Caenorhabditis elegans: one gene and its partners. The protein of the gene in region 4 interacts with the protein of the main gene of each other region in a pairwise test. Each region holds a gene or a part of one and is shown on either strand. Other genes may lie near its edges.

Region 1 (7,487 bases), on a different chromosome or scaffold from region 4:
TAAAAATTGTTTGAAAACACCGAATTTCATAATGAAACTTCTTGAAAACTTCTCATAAAAAAGTTATGACGGCTCAAAAAATGGTCTAAAATTAGTTAAAATTTGAAATTTGACCAACTTGTCAATGCCGCAGCGGCTGGTAACAATTTTTTTGAAATCACCGTCAAATTTTGAGTGAAATTGATGTGTATACTCAAAATTAGACGGTGATTTCAAAAAAAAAATTGTTGCTAGCCGCTGCTACATTGACAAGTCGGTCAAATTTCCGATTTTAACTAATTGTAGGCCATTTTTTGAGGCGTCATAACTTTTTTATCGAGAAGTTTTCATGAAGTTTCATTATGAAATTCGGTGTTTTCAGACAATTTTGAGCGTAATAAACCAATCAAAAAAATTCGACTACACCACCTTTAGTAATTTTTAATTTAAAAAAAAGCTAAAAACTGCTCGAAAAAGAATTCAAAACCAATAAATATGGGGTTAATGTCCTAAATTTAATTCAAATGAGTAAAAAAGTTGTATCTAGTTTTTAAACCAATGCTCTCGTCAAGAGGTTTTTACTTTGAAAAAACCATTGAAAATTAGATATTTTCGAGCTTTCTGGGCAAAAATTGTAAAATTTTCGGCCGAAACCCAGGAAACTGAGCGATTTTTTCAAATTCACTTTTTTTGAAGCTCCAATCAATTTTAGAGCAGAATTTCAAGACTATAAAAAGTTAAAGGTGGGGTACCGAAATTTGAGACTTTCCTTTTTTTAGACACAAAATGGCCCAAAACTACCAAATTTCGTAAAGAGACGTTCTGAAAATTTTTCAAAAAAAAAGTTATGGCCGCTCAAAGTTTTGGAAAAAACGGCCTATTTTTAGCTAAAATCTCAAATTTTGGCAACTTATCGGTGTTGCAGCGGTTAGAACTTAATTAATTTTTATTTGATTGGCATCCTTTAATGCACGTTTTGGCATTTTATTACGTGTAATTTCGTTGGCAGAGATGTTTTTTGGCCAATAGGGACGCATATATGATACAATTTTGCGTCCTCATTGGCCAAAAAACCATCTCAATCAACGAAATAACAAGTAATAAAATGCCAAAAAATGCATTGAAAGATGACGATCAAATAAAAATTAAGATCCCCAACCGCTGCGACTCCGAGAAGTTGCCGAAATTCGGGGCTTTAACTAAAAATATGCCATTTTTTCGAAAACTTTGAGCGGCCATAACTTTTTTTTTGAAAAATTTTCAGAACGTCTCATTACGAAATTTGGTAGTTTTGGATTATTTTGGGTCTAAAAAAAGGAAAGTCTCAAATTTCGGTACTCCACCTTTAACTTTTTATAGTCTTGAAATTCTGCTCTAAAATTGATTGGAGCTTCAAAAAAAGTGAATTTGAAAAAATCGCTCAGTTTCCTGGGTTTCGGCCGAAAATTTTACAATTTTTGCCCAGAAAGCTCGAAAATATCTAATTTTTAATGGTTTTTTTTAAAGTAAAAAACTTTCGACGAGAGCATTGGTTTAAAAACTAGATACAACTTTTTTACTCTTTTTTTTTACTCTTGTTTGTTAAATCCCGATTTTTCCAAATTTTCGGCTAAAAAACGAACTCTTTCATTAGGTGTTCCACTATTATTAAACATAGCCATCGTAGACTGCGGGCCCGTCGACACTGAAAAGTACAATCGAACTCCTTTGGCAGTAGTTGCAACTAGGTTAAGCGCAGCCGATTGTGAAGCTTCCAACGCCTTAATCGATGTAATACTGTGAAAAGATGTCTCATCGTGACCGAATTGCGTCAGAATATGAGCTTCATGTGCAATTTTCGAGATGGGAACACTCAAAAATTTGGCACAAGCTGCTCCATCCGCTCCGAGATCCCAGACACTGACGGTGCCGGCTCGGCCGAGCAAATACATGATATTTCGGGATTTATCGATTGTAATCTGATCGAGGGGCTCTTTTGAAGAGCCGAAGAATGGTAGAGAGATCAGTGTTCCGAGAATTGATGCAGTTTGATTTACACCTCGACACTTGTGATTTGTGGAGCCAAACCATCCGTTTTGTTTCTCGTAGACGAATTCGAAGAGTTGATCGTCGGCTGTATAGAATACTCGACCATTTGAAGTATACGAAATATCATTCACTGTTGCTCCGTCAAGGGCTATCTGAAAAAAAAAATTGGGGATTTTCTAGAGAAATTGCTGAAAAAGCTCAATTTTTGGAGTGTTTTCCAATGTAAAATTGCGATGAAATTCATATAAAAATTGACGATTTGGGGATTTTTATGATAATTTTGGCTTGAAATGGGTTTCGTTTTCAGAAAATATATTTAAAAAAAATAAAGAGTATCGTCTAAAACTAGTGATATTTTCAAAATTTTCGCTCATTTCAGAACAATTTTGGCTTAAAATTGAGCTTTTTAATGGGGATTTGCCAGATACAACATAAAAATTTGACGATTTTCTAGAGAAATTGCTGAAAATGGAAGATTTTTCTGGAAATTATGTGAAAAAATAAAATTTGAGCTCAATTTTAGAAAAAAAATAGACTTAAAAGGAGCGTTTTTATGTACTGGAATTATAGTAAAGTGCTGGAAATTTCAGATTTTTAAGGAAAATTTTGGCTTAAAATGAGCTTTTTTTTCAGAAAAATTAATGAAAAATTGAAGATTTCCGCAAAAAACTGTGTTTATTTTCAAAATTTTAAATTTTTTAGAAAAAAATTTGGCTTGAAAATACCGTTTTTGTGTTATATTGAAGTTTCTCGTCGAAAATTACTGTTATTTTCGAAATTTTAGCTCATTTTTGAAAAATTCTCGCAAAAAAAATTGAGCTTTTTAATGGAAATTTGCGATTTTCTAGAGAAATTGTTGAAAAGCTCAATTTTTGGGAAAATTTAGGCTTAAAATGAGCTTTTTTTATCGGAAAATAAATGAAAAATTGGAGATTTTCGCATAAAACAACACATATTTTCGAAAATTCGGCTTGAAATGAGCGTTTTCAACGACAAATTGTTCTAAAAAAAACGAATAAAAATTGAAGATTATCGAAATCCCCAATTTTTGGTTTGAAATGAGCATTTTTGATGTAAAATTGCTTTGAAGACTCAAAAAATTAGTCAGAAACTCGGATTTTCAAGTTTTCGAGTAGAAAAAAAAACAGAAAAGCGTTATCAGCAAATTTGAGCTAGAAATAGACGAAAAATCCCGTTGTTTAAATTTTTTTTGTCGATTTTTAAGTAAAAATCGCACGGAACATCGATTTTCCCGTGTTTTGAAGACTCAAAATCTCCAAACTTTTGCGATTTTTGATTCAAAAACTTGGGTTTTCTTGGTAATTCTTCCTTCTTTTTTCTCCATTTTCACTCGAATTTCGAACCTTGAAGCATCGTTTTGAGTCGATAGAAATGCTACTGGCGCCATTTTCCACGAAATCAAAGACCGGATAAAGACATATATCGGAAATTGTGCCGACAACGAGCCCATATTGAATTTCCGGCTCAAAAACGCCTGGCTTGATGTTCACCAGCGACACCTTCAGAATTGCAGCGTCTGATGAGTCGAAAAACGCCAAATCGTCGCTGAAAATTCGATTTTTTTTCGGTATTTTTCGGCTTTTCCGCTTACTTTGTCTCGTAATTCCACATATAGAGATTGTTATCAATGACGACCCAAACTCGGCTGATTTGTGTGAAGAATCCCATGCTAAACTCGCTGTGAATATCTGAAAATTCACCAATTTTTCGCTGAAAAACCCCCCCATCGGAAACAATGCTCTCTCACTGCTCATTTGCATTTGAAGCTCTCCGGGTATTGGGATTCGCCGTGTGCTCACAAACTCCGGCGCTCCCTTCACATAAAACTTCTCGCCGAGACCGGAGACGGGCGTCGTGCCGTGTTGTGTGAGGCGATCGAAGAAATCCGATGTCTCCATCATCTGCTCGACGTGGTGTGCCACCTTGTTCGCCGCCGCTTCTGCCGAGTCGGCCGAGCCCAACTCCATAAACGAGACACTCATCTCGGAGGATGGAAAGCTGCTGAAAAAGTCGGAAAATTTTGAGTGATTTTTGATATTTTAACCTTTAAACTTGAAAATTATAGCAAAAAACTGTAAAAAACCCGGAAAACTTCCCGCAAAACGCAACTTTTCGCGCAAAATTCCGAATTCAAATTGCAATGCGGCGCGGAAAAGTGGGCGGGGTCGCGTGTTGCAAGTCCCCCGCACACCTCATCGTGTACTCCTCTCGGACAAGCGCAACAGCTGACAATTTATTTTTGCGTGCAAAAAAAGTCGTTTGTTTGCAATTTCTCACCAGTTTTCGGAGATTTTCTTGATTTTTTGCGGTTGCGCATCGTAAAATACGTATTTAAAATGTGTAAACTTTGGCTCCAGTCGACAAGAAGCTTATGAGTCATTGCCTGGGAAAATTGCTCATCAATTTCCTCATTTTTACGAATAATTGGTGTTTCAATGCGTATAAAAACAAGAAATCGGTAAATTTAGTATGAAATATATTCGAAAATAAAGGTTTTAAGCGTATTTTTCAATTTTCTTCTACTAAAAACCGAACTTTAGCCTAAAAACCTGCTTATTCTGCTCGAAATTCTCGATTTCGCCATGTTTTCCAATTTTTTAACACAGTTTTTCAAAAAAATTCTTCATTTTTCCCATAATTTAGCCGAAAAACTCAACTATTTTGCCCTCTTTTTCCCTAAAACTCGCCATTTCCTACCAAAATTTGAAAATTTTCACTGTGTCCAATCGATTTTTCTTCCTAAAAGTACCATTTTCTCCAATGTTCATTTATTTTTCAGAAATTTTCACTAGAATTACTAGATTTTCTGTGCCAAAACCACGATTTTCAGCAATTTCTTTCTTTAAAATCTTATTTTTTGCCATTTTAAGGTACTTTTCCAACGAAATTCCTGATTTTTTGATTTTTCCACGCAAGTTTTGGCCGATTTTTAACTGATTTTCAGCATTTTTTCAGCCAAAAAAACATCCATTTTTGTTCATTTCCTGAATTTTTTAAATGGAAATTCCTTGATTTTCTTGGAAAATCACGCTAATTATTATTCAATTTCCAACTTTTTCATCCAATTTTCTGCCTATATTGACTCGTTTTCCTTTAAAAAATCGAATTTTCACCCGTTTTTTCACATTTTCAGCAATGTTTAGGTTGAAAATCATATTTTTATTCATTTTAAAATATTTTTTCCCACGAAATTCTTGATTTTTTTTTTGAAGATTTTTGCGTTTTCTTCTCAAAGATGGTGATTTTTGGCCGATTTTCATAAATTTTCGCTCTCAAAAACAAGATTTTAAGCATTTTTCAGCCGAAAAAACTTTCCCCTTTTATATAATTTTTCTTGATTTTTCGTCTTTTTTTTCTGGATTTTTAGGAATTTCTCGTGATTTTTGATGATTTTCCGTCTATTTGGGTTACGTTTTCCAGAAAATTTTCCCAACTTTGACCAATTTTGCGCGCCTAAAAATTCCACGTTTCTAAACAATTTCCCGCATTTTCAGAAATGACGACAAACGGGTTCGATCCATTCGAGTGGCGTTCATTCTACTTCCCAGGAATGAGCCGTGAAGAGGCTCACAAGTTGCTCGGCGAGCCACAAGTATCGATCGGCACCTTCCTAATGCGGGATAGCTCACGCCCCGGTGAATATTCACTGACAGTACGTGAAGCCGACGAGGGAAATGCCGTTTGTCATTATTTGATTGAAAGAGGAGAACCGAAAGAAGATGGAACTGCTGCAGCTGGCGTGAAAATCGCGAATCAGTCGTTTCCAGACATTCCGGCGTTGTTGAATCATTTTAAAATGCGAGTTTTGACTGAGGCAAGCCTGCTGGCCGCCTACAAGAAGCCTATCATTGAGGTTGTCGTCGGAACATTCAAATTCACAGGGGAACGAGAGACAGATCTTCCGTTTGAGCAAGGAGAGCGGCTCGAGATTCTTTGTGAGCTTTAAAGCAGCACTTTTTTGATTAAAGGTGGACTAAACCCTGTGGGGAACTTGCTTTATTGAAATTTAAATTTGCCCATCGAAAACGTCAAAAATTAACTAAAAATCTCAATTTTTCGGCGATTTTAATTGAGAAATGGCTTGAGAAAGTGGTAAAATTTGGCAAAACTTGGTTTTTAATAGTTTTTTTTTTGCATTTGGCTTCAATTTCCCCGAATTTTCAGATTTTTTAATCGAAAAAGTGCTCTTAAAGCTCACAAAGAATCTCGAGCCGCTAAATCAGTGGATTTTTCGGGGATTTCACGAGAAAATTGACATTTCTAGTAGTTTAAATGGCATTTTCCGAACCTTTGTTCTTTCTTCTCTAAGAAGTGCTCGAGATTCCAGAAATTGATTTTTTTTCCAGAAAAAACGTTATAATTGTGAGGAAATCGACATTTTTTCTTGCATTTGGCACTATTTTCTCCGAATTTTTAGATTTTTTAAAGGCGGACCCAGTGGGGAAATTGCTTTAAAACACGCCTATGGGGCCACAATGACAGAATATCATGATTAAAAAATTCAAAAAAATTTCCCTGATTTTATATGATTTTTTGAAAATTGAAAAAAAATCTCAGTTTTCACCTAATTATTTTTGAATTTCCGCCAATTGGATTTTTTCAATGGAGCGCGCTTGCATTATTTTCATTAATTTTCAAAATTTTATTTCTTCTCATTATTGGACTGATTTTCTTCATTTTTTGGAGTTTTTCATCGGAAAATGGAAGAGAAATAAACAAGAAAAATGCAAATTGTTTGTTAAAAATTAACTGAAATTTTCTAAAACTGTGATTTCTTGAGTTCTGACAACGACAAGCCTGAAATTAGTATATTTTACAGTTTTACGCATTTTCAGTTACTTTTAAAAAATCATTTTGCATTTTTCTTGTTGTTTTCTTCGATTTTCCGATGAAAAACCACAAAAAATGAAGAAAATCAGTCCAATAATGAGAAGAAATAGAATTAATTAATGAAAATAATGCAAGCGCGCTCCAACGAACGAGTTCAATTGGCGGAAATTCAAATAGGAATTAGGTGAAAACTGAGATTTTTTCAATTTTCAAAAAATCATTTAAAATCATAAAAAAAAATTTTGAATTTTTTAATCATGATATTCTGTCATTGTGACCCCATAGGCGTGTTTTAAAGCAATTTCCCCACTGAGCGTAGTCCACCTTTAAATAATCTAAAAATACGGAGAAAATAGTGCCAAATGCAAGAAAAAATGTCGATTTCCTCACAATTATAACGTTTTTTTCTGGAAAAAAAATCAATTTCTGGAATCTCGAGCACTTCTTAGAGAAGAAAGACCAAAGGTTCGGAAAATGCCATTTAAACTACGAGAAATGAGTTTTCTCGTGAAATCCCCGAAAATCCACTGATTTAGCGGCTCGAGATTCTTTGTGAGCTTTAAGAGCACTTTTTCGATTAAAAAATCTGAAAATTCGGGGAAATTGAAGCCAAATGCAAAAAAAAAACT
Region 2 (7,546 bases), on a different chromosome or scaffold from region 4:
CCAAATTGAATTATATCTATAGGTATAATTACGTTTTCTTTTTTACAAATTATGTTTCAAAAACCAAAAATTCAAATTTTCAAAAATGTTTCTTAGCAAATCTCCCTTTTCTTCTTTTCCAAACTATTTTTACTATTCTTTTTGCTTTCTTGTCCTCAATTATTTCAAGTTGCGACACTTTTTTCTCCTCCAACCGCCGGCGCTTGGTGTTTCACCAAATCGCCTATCATAAAAGTTTGCACACCACATGTATCGGAAACTCAAAGCAAACAGTGTAAGGGGGCCATAAAATGGATGGTTCAATTGTTATAGTAGAAAGGGAATATAAAGTACAAAAATAGTGCTACTCACCTCATCACACTTGGCACATCTCGGCTTGACCTGTTCAGCATGGTGTCTTCCACAGTAGATCTGCAAATTTTTACTGTTTTGTGAAAAAAACATAAACTTTTATAAAACTTTTATCACGGTCTCAAAATAGAATGATCAAATAACATCGTAAGACATCCCAAAATTTTTTTTGTAGAGATGATGAGTCTGCAGTAATTCTCGAAATTTTTCAATTTTAAATCAAATTTTAAAATGAGAAATTTGACAATTAGGCAAAACTATTACCGAACATTTTTGACAAATCTAAAAATGTTTGGGTTGTTGTTGATTATATAAAATTGACTATATGTATTGACCATTGACACATTGTCTATATCTTCCAAAAAATTCAATTTCTGATAGTAAAAATTACTTTTTAAAAAATTCCTAACCTGATTGTCGTGTGCAAAATAAATCAAATCAACAAGTAGAACATCACACGTTTGACACCGAAAACACGATGGATGATATCTTTTTCCAGTTCTTGCAGCCATCACACTGATTTCTCCTTCTTCAAGACGTTTTGGACACTGAAAATTTACATATTCTAGTCGTGTTTTCAAAATTTGTTGAATAATTGAATAATCCTGATTACTCCAGAACGAGTTAATTTGTAATTTGTGTCTCAATTTCATTTTCATTTTCTCATTGAAATCCGGAGAGATGATAAAGATCTAAAATCCAACATCTTCCAAATGAGATGTGCCATTCAAATTCATCTTCAAATCTCAATCTGTCACATACAATTTGTTCACATTTTGTTGCGTTTTCGCTATGCAAAATCTGGCGAAAAGAAATGCATTAACAACATGTAGTACAAGATATTTTTCACTGTTTCAGAAACAAATAAAATTAATCGTCCAAATTCTTCATTTTATTGTTAGGACAGTCTCCACAAAATATACTCCCCGCCGTCTCGAGCAGGTGTTTTTAATGAAAGCAAAAAAGTATTTATATGGACTAGATTACAAGATAAGTAGCAACATTATACGGTCAAGTGCATCCTCCAGCCGGTGGTTCAGTTTCTCCATGTGTTTCTATAGTTATGTAAATACAAGATGGTATGCCCCTACTGCTACCCTCTTGACCGTCTTAGAATCTTTGTTGGTAGTTGTAATTTAAATTTATTTTTAAGAATCAAATATTTAAATTCTCAGTTGTTTAAAGTGTGCACATTGTGAATTTTCTCTTCTGTTATAAGTTAAGTAACCTCCGCATTAACAACAGACATGTACAACCATAAGTTGATAAGACCTCGCGTCTAATCTGACAACCAGACACCTAAAATTTTGAAATGGATTAGGCAACAGACACCTCTAAACAGAAAAACGTGACAGGGTAATCCTAGGGAAAAACTGCCTGTCTTCTGCCTACGCCTGGGAGGCACGTAGAAAGGTAGTGAAGACGTACCTACCTATTTCACAACTTCAATACTTTTGTTTTCCAAGTTCTTGTACTCAGCTAATCCTCAATATTCGGCGATAATTACTTGTAAACTATCAACAACTAACAAGTACCCTTGACACGCACACGGGTAACAATTGGAACTGACACATCCAATTCAGAAAACAACATGACACTGCCTGAATTGTCTACAAAAGGCAGATGTTCCCATGTCTCCTAATTCAGGTCTTCAAACCAGATACTTGGAGGGGCAACCAACTGGGCGAAGGGTATCAAATGCGCGAAAACCCCTGACTATGAGAGGGATCCTCTAAGAAAAGTGATTGATGACATGGTAACATGGCACCCAGGAAGACCATCTGTTCGGCACTTCCCTTCCAAAAATATACTGTTTCTTTCACCCTATAATTGACTTCTTGCTTTCCTTCTCATTTTCCTTGTTAATCTTGTTATGAGTAGTGTTTAGATCAAAACGCCCCGCGCGCGCATATCGGAAGAAGCTTTGTTTGATCTACCTACCATCTACCCATGACCGGATTAGATTAACACTGAGACGGCTCTAATCAGATTATAACTCAATGAACAAACTAAAGAGAACGAGCAGAAGGAGCGGAAATTGAGTATATTACTGTACATAACATTTACATTTACTAACTTAAGCTAGACCCCTAGCAACCCTTGGAAATTCAAAAGCAAAAATTCTAAATTCCTAAAACGAAAATCCAAGCTAACCCCAACAATGAGCCCCGTTGTCTCTCCTATTAATAAACATGTAACGATGCATAGGTAATTAGCAGTGACTGCTGCTGCTCAGCTTCTCCTCTGACAAACAGCCGGAGCTTCGTAGTAAAAGAAAGATGGATGAACATTGACAATAATTGCATATTGTCTATGACTCTATCTCTGTTTCTCTATTTCTCTCCAATATTTAGATGTTGCAATAATAATTGCAGACAGTCGGTTGCCATTGAATGAAATTATCGTCAGTGGAGATTTATTCGAAATCCACTTATTATAACACAAAAAACCACATATCATAATTTAAATACTTCAAAAATGTTCAGTTTTTTCAAAGTTTCAGTTAAAGTATGGGTGTATTGTTTCAAAAAATGTTAAAATTTAAAAAAATAAATTTTGAGCATAGTTTCGTACTACTAGAATGTTTAAATAGCAGGTTCGTACAACTAAAATGTTTAAATACAAACGATTAAAACGAAATTGGAAACTCGTAGAAAGTATTTTTGAACGCCTTCCAAAATTATAGTAATGAAAAATGAGTTTTTCCCACTTTTTGACTGTATGTAAAATAAAATCAAAAATTTATTTGAACATTTTAACACTATACATAGAAGCTTTTTTTACGGTACTGACGATACCTTCAAAAACGATATCAGAAAATTAAAAAAAAAAGGTTTATTTTTCGACGAATTTTCATGATTCCATTTGTCCCTTTCAAGTTGCTGCAACTATTCTCATGCCGTACAAAAATCTAACACCTAAGCAGCTGGCTTCCCCCATCGAGGTCAACAACCTCTTCTTCTCATTCTTCAGAACTTTTTTGCCGCACTCTCGTAAGTGGGACTATCCGAGAGCAGACGGCCCTCGCCGTTGTTAATGAGCATGACCTTTCTCAAATTTCCGTCATTGTTTATTCTCAAGTGTAAGACAGTGCCTACACGTTGGGAATGCAAAGGCAAAAAGCCGCCCGACAAAAAAGAAGCCGTGAAGATGATGATGAGGAGCATCCCAGCATAAGCATAGATGATGGTGCGCGGAAAGAGAGCGCTCGCGCATAAAGATTTATGAGTTTTGGGGATGGTGCGGAAAGACGAAAAAGAAAATGTTGTTTATGGTTTCATACGCCACAGTTTGGCAAGATTTACGGTTGTGCTCAAATGGGTCGAATGTCATAATAAGGCCGGGTGACGATTTTTCAATAAAACCAAACAAATTTTGATGGAAAATACTAACCTTTTCACATTTTGTATCAAATGGAGCATATTGAACAACACCACTTCCCAGGCATTCAGTTTTTCGAGTTCTTTCAAACATTCGCAATGTATCCGCTTCTTCTGCATTTAAATCTTCACAATATCTAACATCAGAATCCTGTGGTGGTAGTTGATAACGTGATTGACGTTGTCGCCATTTTTCTCCAGCTGATCCAATGAATGGTACCTTGTTTTCCGGGAGACAGGCGAAGTAGGCATGAACCTGTAAGAATTTGAATTTGAATTTGAATTTGAATCAGTATTTGAAGTGCACAAAAAACCATCTGTTTTGAACGGTCCACAGGTTGTGAACATTTTAATTGGTCTAGGTTTTGGTGTTCAAAAACCTAATTCAATTGTTCTTTATTGCACACGAGATCATTCAAAATCTCTATACTTACCATATTCGGCTTCAGACCACTAGGCACCCATGCATACTCGTCCAAAGCACATCCACTGTCATCATCAGATGTTGAATGCCTGTGAGCATCAGCTGCAATTCGGATTCTCGAAGCAGGCGATAGACCACCTTGAGCTCGACGTGATGAGATGAGCTGCGGTGCGAATTGCTCCGATGCTTCGAGACGACGACGGCGAATTCGTTCGCTCATCTGAAATAGGGACTATGAATTGAAAATAACACATTTTCATAAGAGAATGGCAAATTATACGATAAAGTTGAGGTTGACTTGGAAAAAAAGAAAAATAGTGTATGCAAAATCACTTCAAAAAAGCCTCCAAAAAAGGGTGTGTTAAGTGTTAAGTGTGAAAAGAAGACCAGTCCCTCTCTATAACCTTTTTGCTGCCATATAAAAATGTCAATCACTTTGGCAACACCATCACCATCATCCACAAAACTAGACCGGTCTCTCCATTGCCCCGTAAATCCCCACGACGACATCTGACCGTTTCATTTCTCATTTCACTGCAGAAAAGGACATCGTCTTCTTCGTAATGTTGATTCAATTAGAGAAAAAGATTCCGAAATCTTCAACTAGAAGACGACGTCCCGTTGAAGAATGAAAAATAGTAAAGAATCGGGAGACGTGTGTTTATGCTAATTTGATATGGCCTTGTAATAGAGGAATGACTGTTTGCCGTCGCGCACGCCGCCCCGTTTTGTCTCTGTCATTATACTGGTAATAACGGAAAAGTGACGGTAACTAATGGATTAATAGGAACATCTCAAAGGAAGAACTTTAAGATCTCAACGAATCTAAAGTTTTACTGTTGATTCCGACTTTGCGGTAGTGTGTTCGCAAAAAAGTAATAAAAGTAACAAAATTTACCATGATAGTTCCTGTGCATTTTAGAATGTGAAAATTACATACGCTTCATAATTTATATTTGAAGCATTATTCTATTATAGAGATTGTGGCAAGATCCATCAAGAGGAGTAGAAGACACCTTTAAAGTCTCACGTCATGTTTTCACAAACTCTCGGTACTTGAGGATATTTTTATAAACTATTTTCTAGGTCCTTTGGAAGTATTAGTGTTTTCACAAAATTTTATTACTGTTTCAAGGTGGCCATAAATTGCGAGGGTAATGTTTTTGAGTAATTACAACTGTTATTTGTTGTTAAGGAAAAAATTGCTGGCACAATCTTTTGAGAAAAATAAAATGAGAAAAACGAGCCATGAAAAAACTATTTCGAATATTCAAGTAACTCGAGCTTTTGTGAGAGCGGAGAAAAATTATTGTAAGAAAATATAAATGTGTGTTGGAAAAAATATAGGAAGGCGTAGAATGCCTAGTTTGAAAATTTCTGTAAAGATGAAAATGATTTCTGCTCAAGCTCTTGTAGCAGTTCTGAAATTGCCATCACTTCACGATTTCAATATTGAACGCAACAACACCCTGTACTACCAGAACACCAGAATGTGTATAGCGTACAAAAAATGACTCATTTTGCGGTAAGAATGAAATTGTGAAAATTGAAAACTTAAAACAAAAGTGAAACTAATGTGGAGGGCGTTGACCGGAACCGCATGGAATATCTCCCATCAGAACCCAAAAGCTACAAGGATCCTCCCACATCAACTAGAAGGGTGAGACGCAGACCGAGAAGCAGTATTTTGAGGGCGGGGTTAACAGTCTTACCGCATGTGTTTATGTACCCCTCATCTCGGCCAGGAAGGGTCTATATATGTGTGTGTGTCTATGGGTGACAGGTGTTATGATACATCGGTACTAAAGATGTTATCGGTTAGAGATTGGAAGTCCCTGGAGGGTATTGGAGTTGGTTTTAATCTAATAGAGGTGAATAGAGTTGCGGTAGATCAAAAGTTGAGGGCTCTTTTTCAAGTCTTAGATGTAATGATTAGATTACTATTTAATTATGAACTCTTATAAGATACTAAGATACTAATTATGAACTCTAATTTCCGCTCTCAAGCCTGCTCCAACAGAATTTCAACGCCTATTAAAACGGTAATAATTCCAAGAAGAAGACCGCACAAAAAAGCGACGCATTGAGGACAGGGGCGCAATGGTGAGGACCGAACGAGAAAAGACAATAAATCGTTTTTGACACTTTTTTGCGTCGGTGCCCTATGATGCGCATGTGTGAGTGAGACGAGAGACAGACACCTCACATCACGGAAGACAGCCGGTGATGGTGATGATGGTGCATGAGAAGGGGATGAGGAGGAGAAGGTTCATTAACAGAATGCATATCATGATATCAGAATGTCAAACGTTTGCCCGAAAAAGATACCATTGGCCCAGAAGTTGCCAAAGCTTGGGCCGAACTTGGGTAAGATTTGAGCGAAAATCGGTTGAGGCCGCACTGAAGTTTAAAAAAAAACCAAGTTTGGCAAATCCCCTTGAATGCTAATATTTTTGTAAATAATATATTAACGTTTCAAATTGTGTTGCATCCACCGTTTGGAAATTTTGGTTGTTTCTCATATTTTTATTATAGTTTCAAGGTGGCCATAAACTACTTGAGAATTTTTTTGAGTATTGAATAATCAATACTAGCAAACGTTTGGCAAAGAGTTGAAATGCCGAGATTATTTTTGAAAACAAGGTCTATGAAAGTTGAATTAAAAAACGTTCTAAAGTGTTGGAAAAAGTGGTTGGTATATTGCGATGCAAGACTGTTAGAGGGTATGAACGGAAAATATCGACAATGGCCTGAAAATTCAAAATACGATTTCAGTTTACTAAACTCTATTCTGAAAGTGAATAGTTTTCAAAGGTTATGTTAAAACTTACATTTGAACACTTTTAATTACTCAAAAGAATTACCCTCGCCATTTATGGACACCTTGAAACAGTAATAAAATTTGGAGAAAACACCAACACTTCCAAATGACCTAGAAAACTTTCCCGTCTTTCTTTTTTTGTGGTTCCCATCATAGTTTTCACCTCGTGTTTCGTTCAACCGAACAAAGATTAGAATGTGAAAAAATGAAGGAATGGAAGTTGGTGCGCGATGACCGTTAAAATACATTTGATGTGAACTTCAATTTCACATTTCACGGTTACTGTCACCAAATCGAGAATAACTGGGAAAAGGGATGAGTGTATATTACATTTTTGCAAACTACTGGTAAGGTTGCACGAATTTATTATACTAGCATACAAAAATTGTTGTAAAGTTGGAGGAAAAGGGCTAAAAAAAAAGCCAAACTTTTCGAACAAAAGAACCTTTAGAAAGAGTCTTAAAACATGATAATCGATGATCATCGTCGCTGATGACACTCCTTTTTTATACCTCCGATGCCCTTTTAATATCAATAAAGAGAAATAAAAAGAGGTATAGGTATACGTTC
Region 3 (7,950 bases), on a different chromosome or scaffold from region 4:
ACCAGGAGCTGATGTCGAACATCAAGTCGGACTTCCAGGACCAAAGGGAATTTCTGGACCAACTGGACAACCAGGAGATCAAGGACCACAAGGAGATACCGGAGCTCAAGGTATTCCAGGAGCACCAGGAGAGCGTGGACCACGTGGAGACAAGGGAGATAATGGAGAGAACGGTTCTGCTGGAGCACCAGGAGAGGAGGGAGAGCCAGGAACTGATGCCGAATATTGTCCATGTCCTCAAAGACAGGAAAGTGCACCAGTCAATGGAAACCAGGGATACAAGAACAGACGTCATTAGATGCGATTATTTATTTTTCTTCTCTTAAATATTTATATAAATTTTTCAAGCAAGAATCTTACGTTTTAAAACTTTAAAAATCATAAAATTGAAACTCACTTGTGCAAAACAAAATAGTCGATAGCTGCAGGAACTCTTCCAATTTCGAAAATATGATCCATAATTGACAACAAAGCGCGAATCCATTTATTTTGTAACAACTTGACAACATCCCTCTTCTTTGCGATGGCATCCATTTGTGTTAACAGGAATACACGATTCCAAGAGTTTTCAATATCTTCCCATAACCAAATATGTCTTCCAACATCATCGCCAATCACTGCTCTCACTATTTCCACCTCTTCCATATTTTTATTTAGTCGAGCCAATGTCTGTAAAGGATCTTCCAGTCGCTCAGCACGAAGTTCGTCGAGATGACAAGCGTGATCTCTAAGAAATTGTTTCACCCAATCACAGAGTACAGTAATCAGTGTCGGAAGCATCAGTTGACTGTGTTCTTCACATCTCTCCACAAATTCACATATTTCGTTAAGCTTCCGATGAGTTCGAGTGAGGTGGTCGGCCAGTGTTCGTAGCTAAAATAACTTAAATAATTGATAGAAGAAATATTAAAAATTTACATAAGATTTTTGAATATTCGCATACGGAGATTCCATTGGAAAATAATAATCCGAGTTCACTTCAAGACCACCAGACGTCAATCTGTATAGAGGCATCGACACACGATCAGTGCATATTCTTCGTTGAGTATTTTTCTGAATTATAACGTTTATTTTTGATAAAAATTATTTTAGTTTTTGAACTAACTTTAACAGGTAAATCAATAAAGTCGATGAGATGAACAGCGAGCCGTTGTTGAGTGAGCAAATAACTGTCTGTTCTCAAAATAAAATGATTAATATTCGTTTTTGAAAATCCGAATTTCTTACCCATTTCTTTGATGTTCCATACTCTTTCTGTACTCTTGACATCGTTTTACATTGCTATCATGAAACTTTTTTATTTGATGATTCTTACGAGATGAGTTGAACTTCTAAAAAAAAACAGTTTATAAAAAGTTTTCGTTCATCTTCAATTACCTGTAGAACAGCTGGAAACGGATCTCTAGGTGTCGTGAGACATACTGCAGAATCAGCACGTGAGATGTCTCCGCTTCCTCCTTCGTCACGATCTTCTAGACAAGAATTGTAGAACATTGTCTGAAATTTGTTCTAACTATTTCTATATTTGGTTCCCTACAGTACCTCCTGCGTGCATTGATCGAATTCCACAGAAATTCCAACATCGTCGTCTTCATTCATACCTGAATTATATTTTCCTATTTTCAAATACCACAACACATAAATAGAAATTCTGATGAATATAAATACAGATAATTGAATATCTTCTCAAAAATCAAACGACAAAAATTTATTCGAATTATTATTCGTCTCATAGAAGTATCATAATCAAAACACTAAAACTACTGAAATTGTCTAGAAATAACGAGAAAACAGCTCATCAAAATATCTACATTGAACCGATTACCAATCGTTCGAATTAAAAGCTATAGGACTGAGTGAATAAGGGGAAAAGCACCAAAATTAGTTAAATTCAGACTAGTCATTTTCATGGCGTTGGCGGAGAGTCCGATCGGAGATAAGAAGATGCAAATTGTTCGAGATTTCGGAGAAGAAACACTGCTTTTCCTCTGAAAATTAATTTTATTAATTCTTGACACAGATCTAAGAGGACATACTTGATTGTTCCCAATGTTCGAATTGTTGAATCAACTGCATCAATTTGTGTCTTCTGTACATCCAAATCGTTTTTCATTTCTCTATGGACTCCACCAACAGTTGCTTTCAATCCGTCAAAGACTTGGTCCATTTCTCTGAAAACAACAAATTGAATTGAAAACTATACGGTTTAAAAAATACCTGATAGCTTGTGTTTCACAGTGATGAGTATGAGCTGTTGAAACTTGTTGCATTCGAGCAGCTAAATGTGATCTGAACTGTTCTTTCAAATGTTGTTCCTTGGCTCCCGAATTCCAGCGCATTCGTTCCCATGCATATAGTCCAGCGTAGGCCGCTCCTCCGACAGCAATTACTCTCCAACCAACAGCCTTATACACAATACCACCAACAACTAGCACTCCAAGACTTCCGTTTGCTAAAAATGCGGCTGATGTCAAAACCATTTGAGTCATCATTGCCTGTTCTTCGGAAGCTGCAGAAGCTTCTGCATCTCTCACTGAATTCTTTTCGGATTGTTGTTTTAGTGATAATGGAGTAAGCAAATTGGTGTTGATTGCAGTGACAGGTTGGCCGCTTCGATACGCAATGATGCGACGAATTATTGCGTGTAGACCAAATGTGAATCGGAACTCGAGGTCTTCATGGAAATCACTGAAAAATGTAAGAATGAAACACAAAAAATCCATCGAAACTCACTTGACAAGAGCAGGGACATCGACACAAATGCTAAATTTGAAAGGAGCACGATATCGCCACACTTCTTCAAGCTTATTCTGATAAGGTTCGGCGAGGATTTTTGTCACATATTCTGGAAAAAAAATTTTTTATAACACATCAGTTCCCAGATAAACACTTACGGAACATATCATTCTCCAAATTCCAAATTCTTGACATTAGGCCACCGGTACATCTAGCTTCCAAATCACTGCTCAAACATTTGTCCACAAAGATTGCCAAATCCTCTTTATACTTTGTCATTCCGGAAGAGCTTCCATCGAAAGGTTGTTCAAATCGATCAATTATTGCATCAAGTCGTGCTATTTCTTCAAAGAAATCAGCAGAAACTTTCAGATGAACTTCGGCTCGCAGTTGCTCTGTCTGCTCACGGTAAGCTTTTTCAAATTGAGTGAAGTTTACACGGCATTCATTGAAAGTCCTGGTGGATTCGTTTAGATTATTCTGAAGCTTGCTTCTCTGCTCAGCTGCAGAGGTTAGCACGCTATTCAGATTGAGCCGCATTTTTCCGATCATTTCATGAGCTCTCCTGTTATGAGCTTCGAATTTCGTGTGAATCGCCGATCGAGAGATACAATGCTCAAAATGTCGTTCGAAATTTTGGAATTCCAAGGCTCTTGTGCCATGACCTTCTGCTTGATAGGCTTTTTGTACCAGTCCCCTAGCTTTTAATCGTGATTCCAAAACTTCTCTCGATGAAACAAAGAAGATTCGATCATTGACTTCTCTTTCTGAGCACACTTCAAGCTCATCGACCAAAAACTGACGGAATCTCGTCAAATGCTGCTTTTTTACATCTTCGATGTTTTCTGTTTCTGCTGCACTGGCGTCCCATCGATTATTGAGAATAAATACGTTGGGCTTGCTAAGCTTCTTCGCGACTCGAAGGAAGAAGTTCTTTTCGGCTTGTGTCAATGTTGATTCCGCATTTGATACAAGCACAAATACATCTGCATCTAAACAATGTTTGTCAATCCAGCTATCGAATTCTGGAGAAAGATCGACACCAGGGCTATCAAGTATGACGACGTCGTTTTGAAGAAGTCGGCATTCCCCTGATTCCGATTTCTTTGGATGAAACACTTTCAAAAGAGAATCCTGTCCCATTGCCGGAAGATCTGAATTTTCGTCACTCAGTGCGTGTCCAATTTTTCCAAGCATTTTCATATCAATCTTTTGGGGATTATCATCTAATTGTAGATGGCCAACTTCGCCTTCTGAACCTTCAACCTGGAAATTTCAAAAATTTACAATAAAATATGAAAAAAAAGTGATTCTCACCTGCAGAAAGCAACATGTTGTATGTCCCATTCCCTGGGGCAACACTTTCTCATGAAGCATCGCATTGATAGTTGTACTCTTTCCGTTGCTGGTTCTTCCGAAAAATACAACCTTCATGTTATCTCTTTGAAATGTGTCCATTATAGTTTTGATTGAATCGCCAATTGCTTCGATTTCTTCCCGCTGTTCAGAACTAACAAAGTCGTTCTCTTTAATATCTGGAACTTTTGTGGGTTTATATTTGCGGCGAAGTAAAAAACAGAAAATACCTTTGTAAACACCTTCTAGTTCAGCCACATTGTCTTTCAGTTCTCCATAGACATCCCCAAGAACCTTTTTAGCTTCTCGAAATCGAAGAAGTGGTTCATTATCGGCAGCACGACGCGAATTTTTCACTGAAAAGTTTATTGCATTGTTTTTTGAAAGGTTGAATAAACATACAGCTGTGAAGTCCACGATGATTAGAATCACCACTGGCCGGCAGAGTATGAACTAAGCTTGCTGTGCCAGACATTACCTGAAAACTTAAATATATTTAAAGTCTCATAAATCAGCCGGAAATTCGATTCGAGGATTACGAAATCGCTTAAAAGTCTAGAAAACATTAAATCTTATTTGAAATATCGAAAAGGTTATACAAACATCAAATTATTCATTGGAATAATAAAAAAAAATGAAAAGGAACACTCGAATTATCAGAGAATTTCCATTTCTGTCTCCGTCGCGAGCAAAAAAAGAATGTTCACTGGAGCGCGCTCTCTGTACACAAAAGAATCGATTATCGGGAGACAACGATTTGTGAGAAAAATTAGTTGTCTATCGAACTATTTTTGATTAAGAAAAGTTACTGTGCTTTAAATTGCCGTTTTAAACATTAAAAGATATAAATAAACTTTATGAAAGCAGTTTGTAGAAAATTTGTGAATAATGCTTGCTGCAAATTTTTTAATCAGCAAGCCCCCGTTCTTGAAATTCTGCAGTGTCTCTTCTTAAACTTCTGATTGCTTTTTGGATTTATATATTTAGAAAGCAAAAACAATCGAAACATTTCTATTGATTTAGCGGTATTCTATTAAGTTTGAAGTAAAAAAAAACATAAAAAACATTTATTCACTAAATAATTCACTAAAGTACACCGTACATGCAATGAGACCGGATGCAGGAATGCAGAAAAATCATAATTATAAATAGGAAACAATATTCAGGAACAATCCATATTGTCGTTGAAGGTACATTCGTCATCCGAAAGGCTTAACGGAATTTTTGGGCGATTACTATTTGGCTTGGTCGTCTTGACTACGTTTCCATTTTGAGATGATTGATATGTTGATGAGGGATATGTCTTTCTTGGTTTAAATGATTCCGAGTTTGAGGAAGACGGTTGAAGAGTGATCTCGTCTGCTAGTGGGATCGATGGTCGAGATTTTCTGGGAGCCTGAAAACATATTTTAATTTACAAAATAATAATTTTTTGTTACCTCTACTTTGTTTTCTTTAACAAAACCAGCATTGCGACCAGCATCTTTTTTGGCTAAGTCGTTGATCCAACTTTCCAATTCGCGATGTTTCTTTACACTTTTAACAGCTTCGTTCCTTTTGTATTTTATGTCGTTGCTAGTGTATTTGTTAGAATGAGAATTAGCATGATGTTCTTTCCTAGTAGTTTGTCTTCTATCAGAATTCGAAGACTTCCTTGAACTATTTAGTTGATCCGAATCCGTTTGTTGTTTCTTCCGACCATGAATGGTGTCCATGAATGATTTAACTGTCTCAACGTGCAGATCATGAGTCAGTGCTTTGTTTGAAAGATTCACATCCTCGGTGACGAGTATAATAGCACGATCATTGAGGTTCATTGTAGATGGAATTGACATTACTGAAAATTGTGGTATATTCTCGAATCTTAATTTAAGAAAAAAACTTACTTTCTCTTTTTATTCGCAATGCAGTTCTTAGAATCAAATCATCTACAACAGTTGTGTTTGCACTGAAGCCGTTTATCTGAATCTGTTGCTCTGTGCTCGTCTCGACATGCAAGTACTGATTCTTCTCTTCCAGAAGATCTTTTATACTATTATTTGCACAATTAGCTACAATTCGAGTGTGTCCTGATCCGTTTTTAAGACCATCTAGCTCAGATAATGTAAAATATGGAATGACTGTGAGAATTTGTTCTGAAAATAATAGAAATTTCAATAATAATATCATTCTCTATATTTTACTTTCGATGGAAGCATTGAGAACATCAGGATTTCCCAGAAGAGCACAGGTATCGAATATGGCACACGCACGATAATGCAAATCTTTGAATGGTCGAACTTCAGAAGACCATGGAACACGTGGTAGCATTTTATTGGAATGAGATTCTACCTGCAACTGATTTTTATTTTAAAAGAGCTTAATAATTATATCAACACTAACGCCACTGCAGCTGGGAATGTCTTCTTTTTTCGTTATTCTCTCCGAACTGTCCGATCTTCTTGGCCTCTTCCATGAAAACTCTTCATCATCCAACTTCTCCATAGACTTCCGCTTTGGCGGGGGTACCACATCGACTTCCTAAATTTTAATGAATAAATTAATCTGTTAATTGATAATTAATAGTTACCATTTTATCATCATCCATGGTCCCATGGATATTTTCCTCTACATCTTTCCGTTTTCTCGTTTTCGCTTTAACCGGAGATTTTTCCTCATTTTTTCGGGTGTTTGGATGATCCCATAAACTTTCTTTTGTCTTATCATTCGTATAAAACTTCCGTTTCTTTTCCGTGTGCCACCAGGCTTTCCATGGAGGTGATACATTTTCCGTTTTATCATCTAACCTAACTTTTTTTGGTTTTTTTGGAGAAGCCATTATTTGTACTCTGAAAACTGGTGAGGTCCTAGGAATAAAATCATTCGTGGGAAACAAAGATAAATTGAGCAGCATGGTTAAAACCGATATAAAACAAGCGATTTTTGATTAAAAACATTAAAAAAAAATTATAGTTTATATACAAGTAAAAATTCATAATTTAATAAAAATTACACATTTCCACTGAAAAGACGATTCGCATTTGCCTCAATTAATTGGAATTCTGGTGTTTCTAATCGATCACTGAGAAACTTCCTTTCATCTTCTGTTAATGTTTCTTCAAGGCGTCTCAGTGCCATCAAAATTTCAAATTTCCTTTCCAGATACCCTTGCTTCGGCATTTTTTGAGATCGGTAGTTGGTTTCTGTCTGAAAATTAAATTTTAAACGATAATATCATTGAGATTAGTTACCATCATCAATTTTTCTCGTAAAAGACCAGTATGTTTTCCAGCAAATAAAGCCATAATTTCAGGTGTTTTGAAGGCTTTACTTATTGCTGTTCGAATCGCAATTTTAGTCGCCGTGAGATCATCAATTAAAGAAACATCTCCGCCTTGCAGGCGTTCGACTATTTTTCCATATTCCTGAAGTTGATTTACAGTGTCTTCACGCAATTCCCTGTATTCGTCTTCTTCGAGATTATTCCTGAACAAAGAAACATTTGAAAGTAAAAAACAAACAAAAAATTCACTCACTCTTCTTGTTCTATTTCTGCTAACTGCCGGATCAATCGATCAATAGTTTTTTGAGCATTTTTAATAAGCAAATCGTCTACTCCCATGACGAGAAAATTAATTGCAAGAGGAATTTGCAAAAAACAACAAACAAAAATGCTGCGCGTCAAGTAAAATGCATTTCGTAAATCGAGTGTACGCAAACACCATGACGCAAAAGTGCATGTTTTTGGAAAACCTCAAAGTTGGATTAAAAATGTTTGGTATTTAAAAGTTTTGCAGTATTCCTTTATATTCGGACAATTTGAAGTTGAATACATCGAATTCTGAATAGGAAATTTTAATTCTAAACAGAGTCTGCAAC
Region 4 (7,553 bases):
CTATGCGAAATGTCTCTAATGCGAAATGCGAAATGTTGAAAAATACGTTTTGATGTTTCGTTTTTGAGTTGCATCATTTTTGGAGGACTCCTTCATTTTTCTCATATATATAAATAGTCAGTTTCAAGTGCGATTTAGTTTTACAAGACCTTGCGAGAAAATGATTTCCATAATGTTTTCTTTACTTATATTATTGAGTTTGTTTTGTTTTGGTTTTGTGGTCAAAAATATGCATATAGTTGAAACTTTTAAAAAACTTTTGCCTTTTTTGAAAAGCATTTTTTTTTGCTTTTTTATGTTGATCAACGGAAAATTGAAATATTTCCAGGTAGTCCTTGTATCAGAACTCTACGCAAATTTAATGCAAAAGCGAGCTCGTAACATGTCCCGAGAAGCTTTTATAGTGGAGAATCTCTATGTTTCCAAACACATCATACCATTCATACCAACTGATATCCGATGTATTCGATATATTGATCAAACTGCCGATGCTGCTACCATTTCCACGTCATCGTCTGCAATTGATATGCAAAGTTGTAGATTTTGTCATTCAAGATATTCTCTCAATCGTGCATTCAAATAGATTTTCCATTTTTATATTTTGTCATCTTTTTTAGTTTTCAAATAGGGAAAATGGTTTTCTCAAATCAGTATTTCAGTTTTGAGACATTTTTCTCCATTATTTTAATGGGTTCTAAATACAGTCATCGCGTGTTTAATATAACCTTCAAGATGAAAAATGAAAAATTCTGTGCAAAAAAAACCACTTTTCCATTTTGAAATTTCAATTATTTCACATCCTTAACTCACCGCCCTTTCCCTAATTAAAAACGGGCTAAAATTTCTATAAATTATCGATTTTTTTTCATTTTCTTTCCCTTTTCCAAAAAAATGTCACCGTATTTTCACATCCAGGTGATCTGCTCTTTCAAACTATCCCGAAAACCTTGCTTTTTATAAAGTTTGCCTGAACAGATCACAATGATTTCATATCTTTTCAATTCCATCTTCACACGACATTCCGTTTTTCATATTTTGTCCTATAAAATATTTTGCTAGTTGTATTTTTATTTTACAATAAATTTTGATTAATTTGTTTCGGTTTAAATTAACAAAACAATAATTTAGCAGCACAGATGTGTTCCCAATATTATAAGGAGCAAAATATAATTCCAAATTAAAAAATACCGCCCTTCTTTGACTGCTGTTTTCTCATGTACCTGTGCTTGTAATGAGAATATAACTTCCTAAACTCACTAAACTGCGTATCTTCAAACTGGCGTATCTTGAAACATGAATGCCTAGGAAACAAATGTTCAACTGACATAATGATCAGAAATGTTTTTTCTTTCTTTTAAAATCTTTGTCATTTTTAAATACCAATTATTCGTTGCGTTACATTGAGTCAAAGCCATTTTACCAAAATCCACAAAAATTTTTGAAAACTTTTCTGTTCTACCAGTCATAACTCAACATCCATCTAATTTCATAAAAAAATCTTTGTTGTGTAGTAAAACTGAAAAACATTTTACCACATTTTATCAATTTTGAGGTTTTTGATATTTTCATGTTCAGCCAAGTTACAGACCATTTTCTAAAAAAATCCAGTTTCATCCATAAAACTCTTCATATCATTGCTAGTTGTGTTATCTCTTTCTGAATAAAATTTGATAAATTTGTTTCGGTTTAATTGAAAATAGAAAAAAAAAACAAGTGTAACAAAAAAGACACTATAATCACTCTAATAGAACTACAAATGAGACAAAACAAATTTCAAGGGAACAAAACTGGAAAGATTGGGACAGTAATCGATAAATTGCGACAAATATTAGGATTCTGCAGCTTTTTTCTCGGGGGTTTCACTAGATTCTTCGTTTTTTGGCTCTTCTTTTGACTCGGACTTCTCCTCGGACTTATCTGGAAAATTTCAATTAATACAAATGAAACAAAAATATTTAATTTTTGTTTAGAAATTTATATATTTACCCGAAAATTTTTCGTTTAATTTTTTCGAAAAATCCCTCGTTTTCTTGATTTTCGTCAATAGTTTCTGCATTCTCAGCTACTGGCTCACTTCTCCGTTTTTGTGATTCTGATGCACCTATAAATTAGTAATTTTGGATTGAAAAGAATCAAAAATCAGTTTTGGGGAAAAATTGAGATTACAAGTGCATCAGAATGCAAAAAAAAAAACAAGACTTTCAGGTATTTTTCAAACAACTTTAAAATTTTACAAACTTTTTGAATCTTTACAACCAATAATGTCGGTTTAAAAAAAAAAAATTAATGAATTTTTTTTGGTAATTTCTCGATTTTTTAAAGACAACTTTTTGATAAAACCTTTGTTTCAAATTGAAATCATATTTTTTCACCTTCAGACTTCTTTTCCTCATTTTTCTTCGTCTCCTTCTCCTCGGTTTTCTGATTTTTCTCCAATCCTTTGATGGTTCCATCTTTCAGCTGTTCCGTCGCAGCCCAAGCCAACATAATTTGTTTCTGTTCGGCTGTCAAATATTTCGGAACCGTTACTTTAATATGCATATATTGATCTCCATTTCCGTAAGAATGCAATCGTTTTACTCCTTTTCCTGTTAATCTGAAAATTGTTTAATGAATATTTAAGTTCCAATTTTTGGAGATTTATTACCTCATTTTAGTGTGACTGCCAGTTCCTGCCGGAATATGAACATATGTATCTCCATTAATTCCAGGAACCTTTACAGTACCACCAAGAACAGCTTGAGCCAGAGAAATATCTACGTCACAGTGAATATCATCTTTCTCACGTCGGAATTTCAAAGATGGTGCAACGTTGAAACGAACAAATAATTGATTTTTCCCCACTTGGAACTTCAAACTATCTCCATTATTAGTTCCAGCTGGCACATTGAATGATACTTGACGTCGTTGAACGGTTTGACCTTCACCTTCACATTCTTGACAAGGATTCTGAAGAAAAAATTAAAAGCTACAATAAAAGAAAAATCAATAACTCTACCTTATTATAATGTCCACTTCCTCTGCATCGATTACAAGTTGTTTGATAGAAGAAACCACCCTGAAGACGTTGAGAAACTGCTCCAGTTCCGTTACAATACGGACACGACGTCTTTTTGTGACCTGGTTCAACTTGAGTTCCGTGACATTTCAGACAATCTTCAACTACGTTTACAGAAACATTTTTGGTGGCTCCTCGGACAGCTTCTTCGAACGAAATATCCATAACCATTTCCTGAGCAGCAGAATGTCCGAAAGCACTTTGGGCAAAATTATCAAAATTAAAGCCACCCTGGAATCAGCGAAAAAATAAATAAAACTGTAGTTTTTATTAATTACAATAAAAATTATATAATTAATATAATATTCAGAAGAATTCATAAGGAGAACTCACCATTCCACCCCCTCCACCAAATGCTCTTCTGAAAATTTCGTTAACATCAACATTTCCATGGTGGTGGAAACCTCCAGCACCACCTCTTCCACCAGCTGGGCCACCTCCGCTTCCGTATGCATCATATTCTTGACGTTTTGTGTCATCGGAAAGTACCTTAATATTTTTGATTCGAGCCTGCTCTATTGTTTGTTGAAAATACCTCATATGCTTCAGAAATCTCTTGAAATTTCGTCTGCGCTTCTTTTGTTTTGTTTACATCTGGATGGTATTTCTTGGCAAGCTGAAATAACGTATTTATACTTACAAAGTATTCGATAAAAACTTATATTACCTGGAAATAAGCCTTTTTGATTGCTTTTGCATCAGATTTTTTGTCGACACCCAAAGTCTTATAATAATCTTCTTTGCTTAGTGCATGCGTTGTGTGAAGTTGAGCTGTAACATAATGTTTTAAAAAAGCAGAAAAGAATTGGTTTATCACCAAATGGAGAATTATTAACCTAATTTTGTTGTGGAAGTCGTAGGCGTGGATACTTGAGCTAATAAAGGTACAGATCGATGAATGAGCCCGCTTGAACGGTTTAAGACAAACATTCCGAGTACCCTGAAACAAATTCACATTTTAAAATATAGAACATTCTAAAATAAATAATAAATTAATAAAATTAAAATAAAAAAATAAATGTTTTTTCAAGCTGTCTGCAAACACCGTCACGGTAAAACACACATTTCGGACGGAACATCGGAGCATCGTTTGGATTTTTCAATTTTCAACTTTTTCTCCGCGAATTTCAAAATCCGGCTCTTTTTCGGGAAACAATGCTTATTTACTTTCAACAATAATAAAGCTGGAATGGATGAACCGGATAAGGAGAAAATCACGAAAGTCATCAACGTATGTAGTAAAGAGTCTATAGAAATATGACTTGATGGATTTTCGCTAATTGAAAAAATCAGCTTTTCTGACCAGCAAATAAAATAAAAGAACCACTAAAATGATAATAATATTTACTGAAAGAAAGTAAAAAAAAAATAAATAAAGAAAGTTTGATTGTATTATTTGACAGAAAAAATAATGGTCCTATTTGGACGTCATTGTCACATCATCGCTTCGAGTATCATCGCCCTGCATCGAATTTGTAGAATCCAATGACGATTTGCTTTTCTTCGACCTCTTCAGGATCCTATTCATTGTGTGACCATCGAACTTCATCGACTGCACTTTTGTCCAATTGGCACGGAGTCCAGGGAGGATTCTGTGACTCTTTGTAGTCTTTTTCGATGCCGATGACACTGGACGAGCTGGAAAAATATAAATTTGCATACTTATACGCTTATTTATAACATTTCTTACGCGGAATGAATCTGGCAGCAGGCAGTTCAGTTCTTTGATCATCCATACGTGAGCTCATACTGAAAATGAGATCCATCATGTCTACGGGTTCCTCGTTCTCTTTCTTTTCGATCGCCACTGGTTTCTTCTGGTCGTCAATGATTCCGTTGACAATCATTTCCCAGGTTTCCACATTTGTTGCGTGCTCCAGTTCGACGACGAACTTATTAATCATGTCATTCGAGGATGTCGGATCAGGAGACGAATCAATTGCGAGGCATACATCTTGATCAGTTGCCGTTTCGCTTCTCTCTTGATTCATCGCCACGTCGATCTGCTCGTAGAACAGTTTGAAACTGTTTTGGTTGATGGTCAGAACACTCCCCAAGATGATAAAATAAGCAGCTTGGCGTCTTTTTCCAAGTGCAATGAGGCACTTTGCGATTGTAAGCAACACATCTCCAATGTATTCGTTCAATCCAAGCTTCCGAATCGATACAAGCGCTTCCAATCCGTAGAGATATGCTTCGTGGAATTCGCCATTTCTCAGCATCTCTTCGGATAGCTTCGACTTATATTTGACTACATCTCGCTCTTTTCCGAATTTCGTGGCGTAGAAGAGAGCACTTCTGTGAATAAAGAATTGATATTTTTATTAATCGTTAAAACTAAAAATTACCTGAGATCTCTGATAATAAAGAAAAGAAGATCTGTCTCAGCATATAGAGCCTTGTCGTAATAGGCGATGTGAACTGCTTCAAACTGGTCTGTTTTGATGGCAAAATCGATGCATTCTTGATACTTGCGACGCGATTCCTCGTATTTTTCGTCTAGTGACAAGCATTTCGCCTCAAGTAACATGATTTTGGTCTCAGACACAGCTCCTTCCGTATTATTCTCGTTGAACAATTTCACGGCTGCAATCTGTTCAGCACATATTGACAAAAGCTTCTTCTTCTCATCTTGATTACTCTCGACGTCTCTTTCACATCCTTCGAGGCACACGGAAGCGAACAAAATTCGAGCTTGACCGATATACTTCTCTCCGTTCTTCTTATTGCTGGTGTAATCAATGAGATCCTCAGCAAACCGTCGAGCCTTGGGGAACTTTCCCATTTTGAGTGCCTGCTCGACGATGCGACGTGTGGAATCACATGCTTCTGGGTAGTTGAAGATCAATCTGAAAAATTAAGGTTATAGAATGTCCAGCTCATTTTTGTGATTCACTTACTTGAACATGTTCAACTCATGTTCGAAAAACTCCAAGGCCTTGGCATCATGGTTCAAATGCCTGCACACTCTTCCGTAATACATGTAGATTGTACCAAGTAGTTGAAAATTTGAGGTTCCGAACTCCATTATCTCCTCTAAGCGTCCTTTTCCATCCTCGTATTGTCCCAATCTCATGGCCGTCACCGCGCTTTTCAGCATTGCTTCGGCGACTTCATCCTTGGGACCATCGTAATAAGAGACGTCCATTCGTTTTGCGAATGTGGAAACTTCTGAAATGAATCGAAAATTGCAAGCAAAAATAAAAGAAATAGAGGAATTTTACGGAAACAGGCAAAACATTCCCGCGATCTCCACGAATACACGAAATATTTAAAACGGGGAAAGTTTCTTCAAATATCTCACGAGGTTTAATAGACTATTGCACATTTTGTTATAAATTTTACAAATCTTCAATAAAACAACCGCTGACAAACAAATAAACTTGAAAAATGACTCGAGAATCTCGAGACAGATCTGTGGGGAAGTGAAAATTGGCGGTTAACGCGTAGTTTTTTCTCGCGCACTCAACTTCTAATTTGGCGCCGCTTTCTGATATGTCGTCAAATGTGTTGCCGATGTACGTAAGTACACCATTACGCGCATTTGCACACTCACAATCAGTGGAGTTTCTCCGCGAATTTCAAAATCCGGCTCTTTTTCGTGAAAAATGCTGACTTTCAACGATAATAAAGCTGGAATGAATGGACTGGATAAGGAGAAAATCACGAAAGTCATCGAAGAAAACACATCAGCGTCCTACTCGTCGTTTTCCAAAAAACAACAATCAAGAATTGAAGAGAAAGTTTTAGAAATCAAAAATCGTTTGCAAACAGCAACCAGAGAAGAAAGACAAAAATCTGAGATACTGGTATGTATTTTAAAAGCTAATAAATTTACTTAGAGCAAATTTCCAATTTTCAGATGGAGAATCTTGAGATGAAACTGGAATCATCTAGAGATTTATCAAGAGACTGTGTTTGTATAGATATGGATGCTTATTTTGCCGCAGTTGAAATGAGAGATAATCCTGCACTGAGAACAGTTCCTATGGCCGTAGGCTCATCGGCAATGCTGGTAAGCACCTAACTCAATTTGAAAAGTAAATTTTCGATTTCGGAAAAGCTTTAAATCTATTCTTTCAGAGCACATCCAACTACTTGGCTCGCCGTTTTGGAGTCCGTGCTGGAATGCCTGGCTTCATCTCAAATAAACTTTGTCCGAGTCTAACGATTGTTCCAGGAAATTACCCTAAATACACTAAAGTCAGTCGCCAATTTTCACAAATTTTCATGGAATACGATTCGGATGTTGGAATGATGTCATTGGATGAGGCATTTATAGATTTGACAGACTATGTGGCAAGTAATACAGAAAAAAGTTAGTGATTTAGATTTGATTATTAACAAAAAACTATTTGCTTACTAGAAACCTTCAAGCGTCACAGATTCGGCGGAGATTGTCCATGTTGGTTACCCCGTTTCGACGAGAATGAAAATACTTTGGAAGACTTGAAAATCGAAGAATCGATCTGTCCAAAATGCGAAAAATCGCGGA

The links.
Region 1: the proteins of dnj-10 (region 4) and npp-8 interact in a two-hybrid assay, tested with the Caenorhabditis elegans proteins (one large-scale study listed by BioGRID).
Region 2: the proteins of dnj-10 (region 4) and prkl-1 interact in a two-hybrid assay, tested with the Caenorhabditis elegans proteins (one large-scale study listed by BioGRID).
Region 3: the proteins of dnj-10 (region 4) and fzo-1 interact in a two-hybrid assay, tested with the Caenorhabditis elegans proteins (one large-scale study listed by BioGRID).

Annotation. Positions count from the first base shown.
Region 1 is NC_003282.8:1,591,796-1,599,282, forward strand, and holds the start of npp-8 (Nucleoporin_N domain-containing protein), read right to left. Parts: upstream 4,030-7,487; 5' UTR 4,011-4,029; coding exon 3,776-4,010; intron 3,717-3,775; coding exon 3,620-3,716; intron 3,574-3,619; coding exon 3,372-3,573; intron 2,160-3,371; coding exon 1,602-2,159; intron 1-1,601. Other genes in the region: ced-2 (Cell death abnormality protein 2), read left to right, coding at 5,525-5,963.
Region 2 is NC_003282.8:6,982,561-6,990,106, forward strand, and holds the start of prkl-1 (LIM zinc-binding domain-containing protein), read right to left. Parts: upstream 4,376-7,546; coding exon 4,166-4,375; intron 3,988-4,165; coding exon 3,745-3,987; intron 3,650-3,744; exon of another isoform or gene 3,216-3,649; intron 2,775-3,215; exon of another isoform or gene 2,623-2,774; intron 2,350-2,622; exon of another isoform or gene 2,196-2,349; intron 1,988-2,195; exon of another isoform or gene 1,637-1,987; intron 1,512-1,636; exon of another isoform or gene 1,164-1,511; intron 1,011-1,163; coding exon of another isoform or gene 900-1,010; coding exon 762-899; intron 492-761; exon of another isoform or gene 471-491; intron 412-470; coding exon 352-411; intron 1-351.
Region 3 is NC_003280.10:5,831,634-5,839,583, forward strand, and holds fzo-1 (Transmembrane GTPase fzo-1), read right to left. Parts: upstream 4,571-7,950; 5' UTR 4,568-4,570; coding exon 4,495-4,567; intron 4,449-4,494; coding exon 4,323-4,448; intron 4,272-4,322; coding exon 4,054-4,271; intron 4,003-4,053; coding exon 2,895-4,002; intron 2,846-2,894; coding exon 2,734-2,845; intron 2,689-2,733; coding exon 2,218-2,688; intron 2,172-2,217; coding exon 2,037-2,171; intron 1,989-2,036; coding exon 1,907-1,988; 3' UTR 1,695-1,906; downstream 1-1,694. Other genes in the region: gtap-1 (Dynein heavy chain 7, axonemal), read right to left, coding at 398-873, 919-1,053, 1,106-1,178, 1,228-1,331, 1,378-1,497, 1,543-1,599; col-74 (Nematode cuticle collagen N-terminal domain-containing protein), read left to right, coding at 1-298; ZK1248.15 (WW domain-containing protein), read right to left, coding at 5,255-5,488, 5,532-5,929, 5,979-6,227, 6,276-6,423, 6,475-6,612, 6,662-6,910; ZK1248.19 (Beta-catenin-interacting ICAT domain-containing protein), read right to left, coding at 7,081-7,278, 7,323-7,557, 7,608-7,693. UniProt on the Caenorhabditis elegans protein: Probable transmembrane GTPase. Mediates mitochondrial fusion. Fusion of mitochondria occurs in many cell types and constitutes an important step in mitochondria morphology, which is balanced between fusion and fission.
Region 4 is NC_003281.10:8,627,610-8,635,162, reverse strand, and holds dnj-10 (DnaJ homolog dnj-10), read right to left. Parts: upstream 3,999-7,553; 5' UTR 3,989-3,998; coding exon 3,895-3,988; intron 3,830-3,894; coding exon 3,726-3,829; intron 3,675-3,725; coding exon 3,594-3,674; intron 3,548-3,593; coding exon 3,392-3,547; intron 3,290-3,391; coding exon 2,999-3,289; intron 2,950-2,998; coding exon 2,648-2,949; intron 2,597-2,647; coding exon 2,373-2,596; intron 2,102-2,372; coding exon 1,987-2,101; intron 1,918-1,986; coding exon 1,914-1,917; coding exon of another isoform or gene 1,829-1,913; 3' UTR 1,598-1,828; downstream 1-1,597. Other genes in the region: twk-7 (TWiK family of potassium channels protein 7), read left to right, coding at 329-583; gpr-1 (G-protein regulator 1), read right to left, coding at 4,476-4,696, 4,749-5,356, 5,407-5,907, 5,959-6,206; polk-1 (DNA polymerase kappa), read left to right, coding at 6,667-6,867, 6,921-7,073, 7,142-7,376, 7,425-7,553.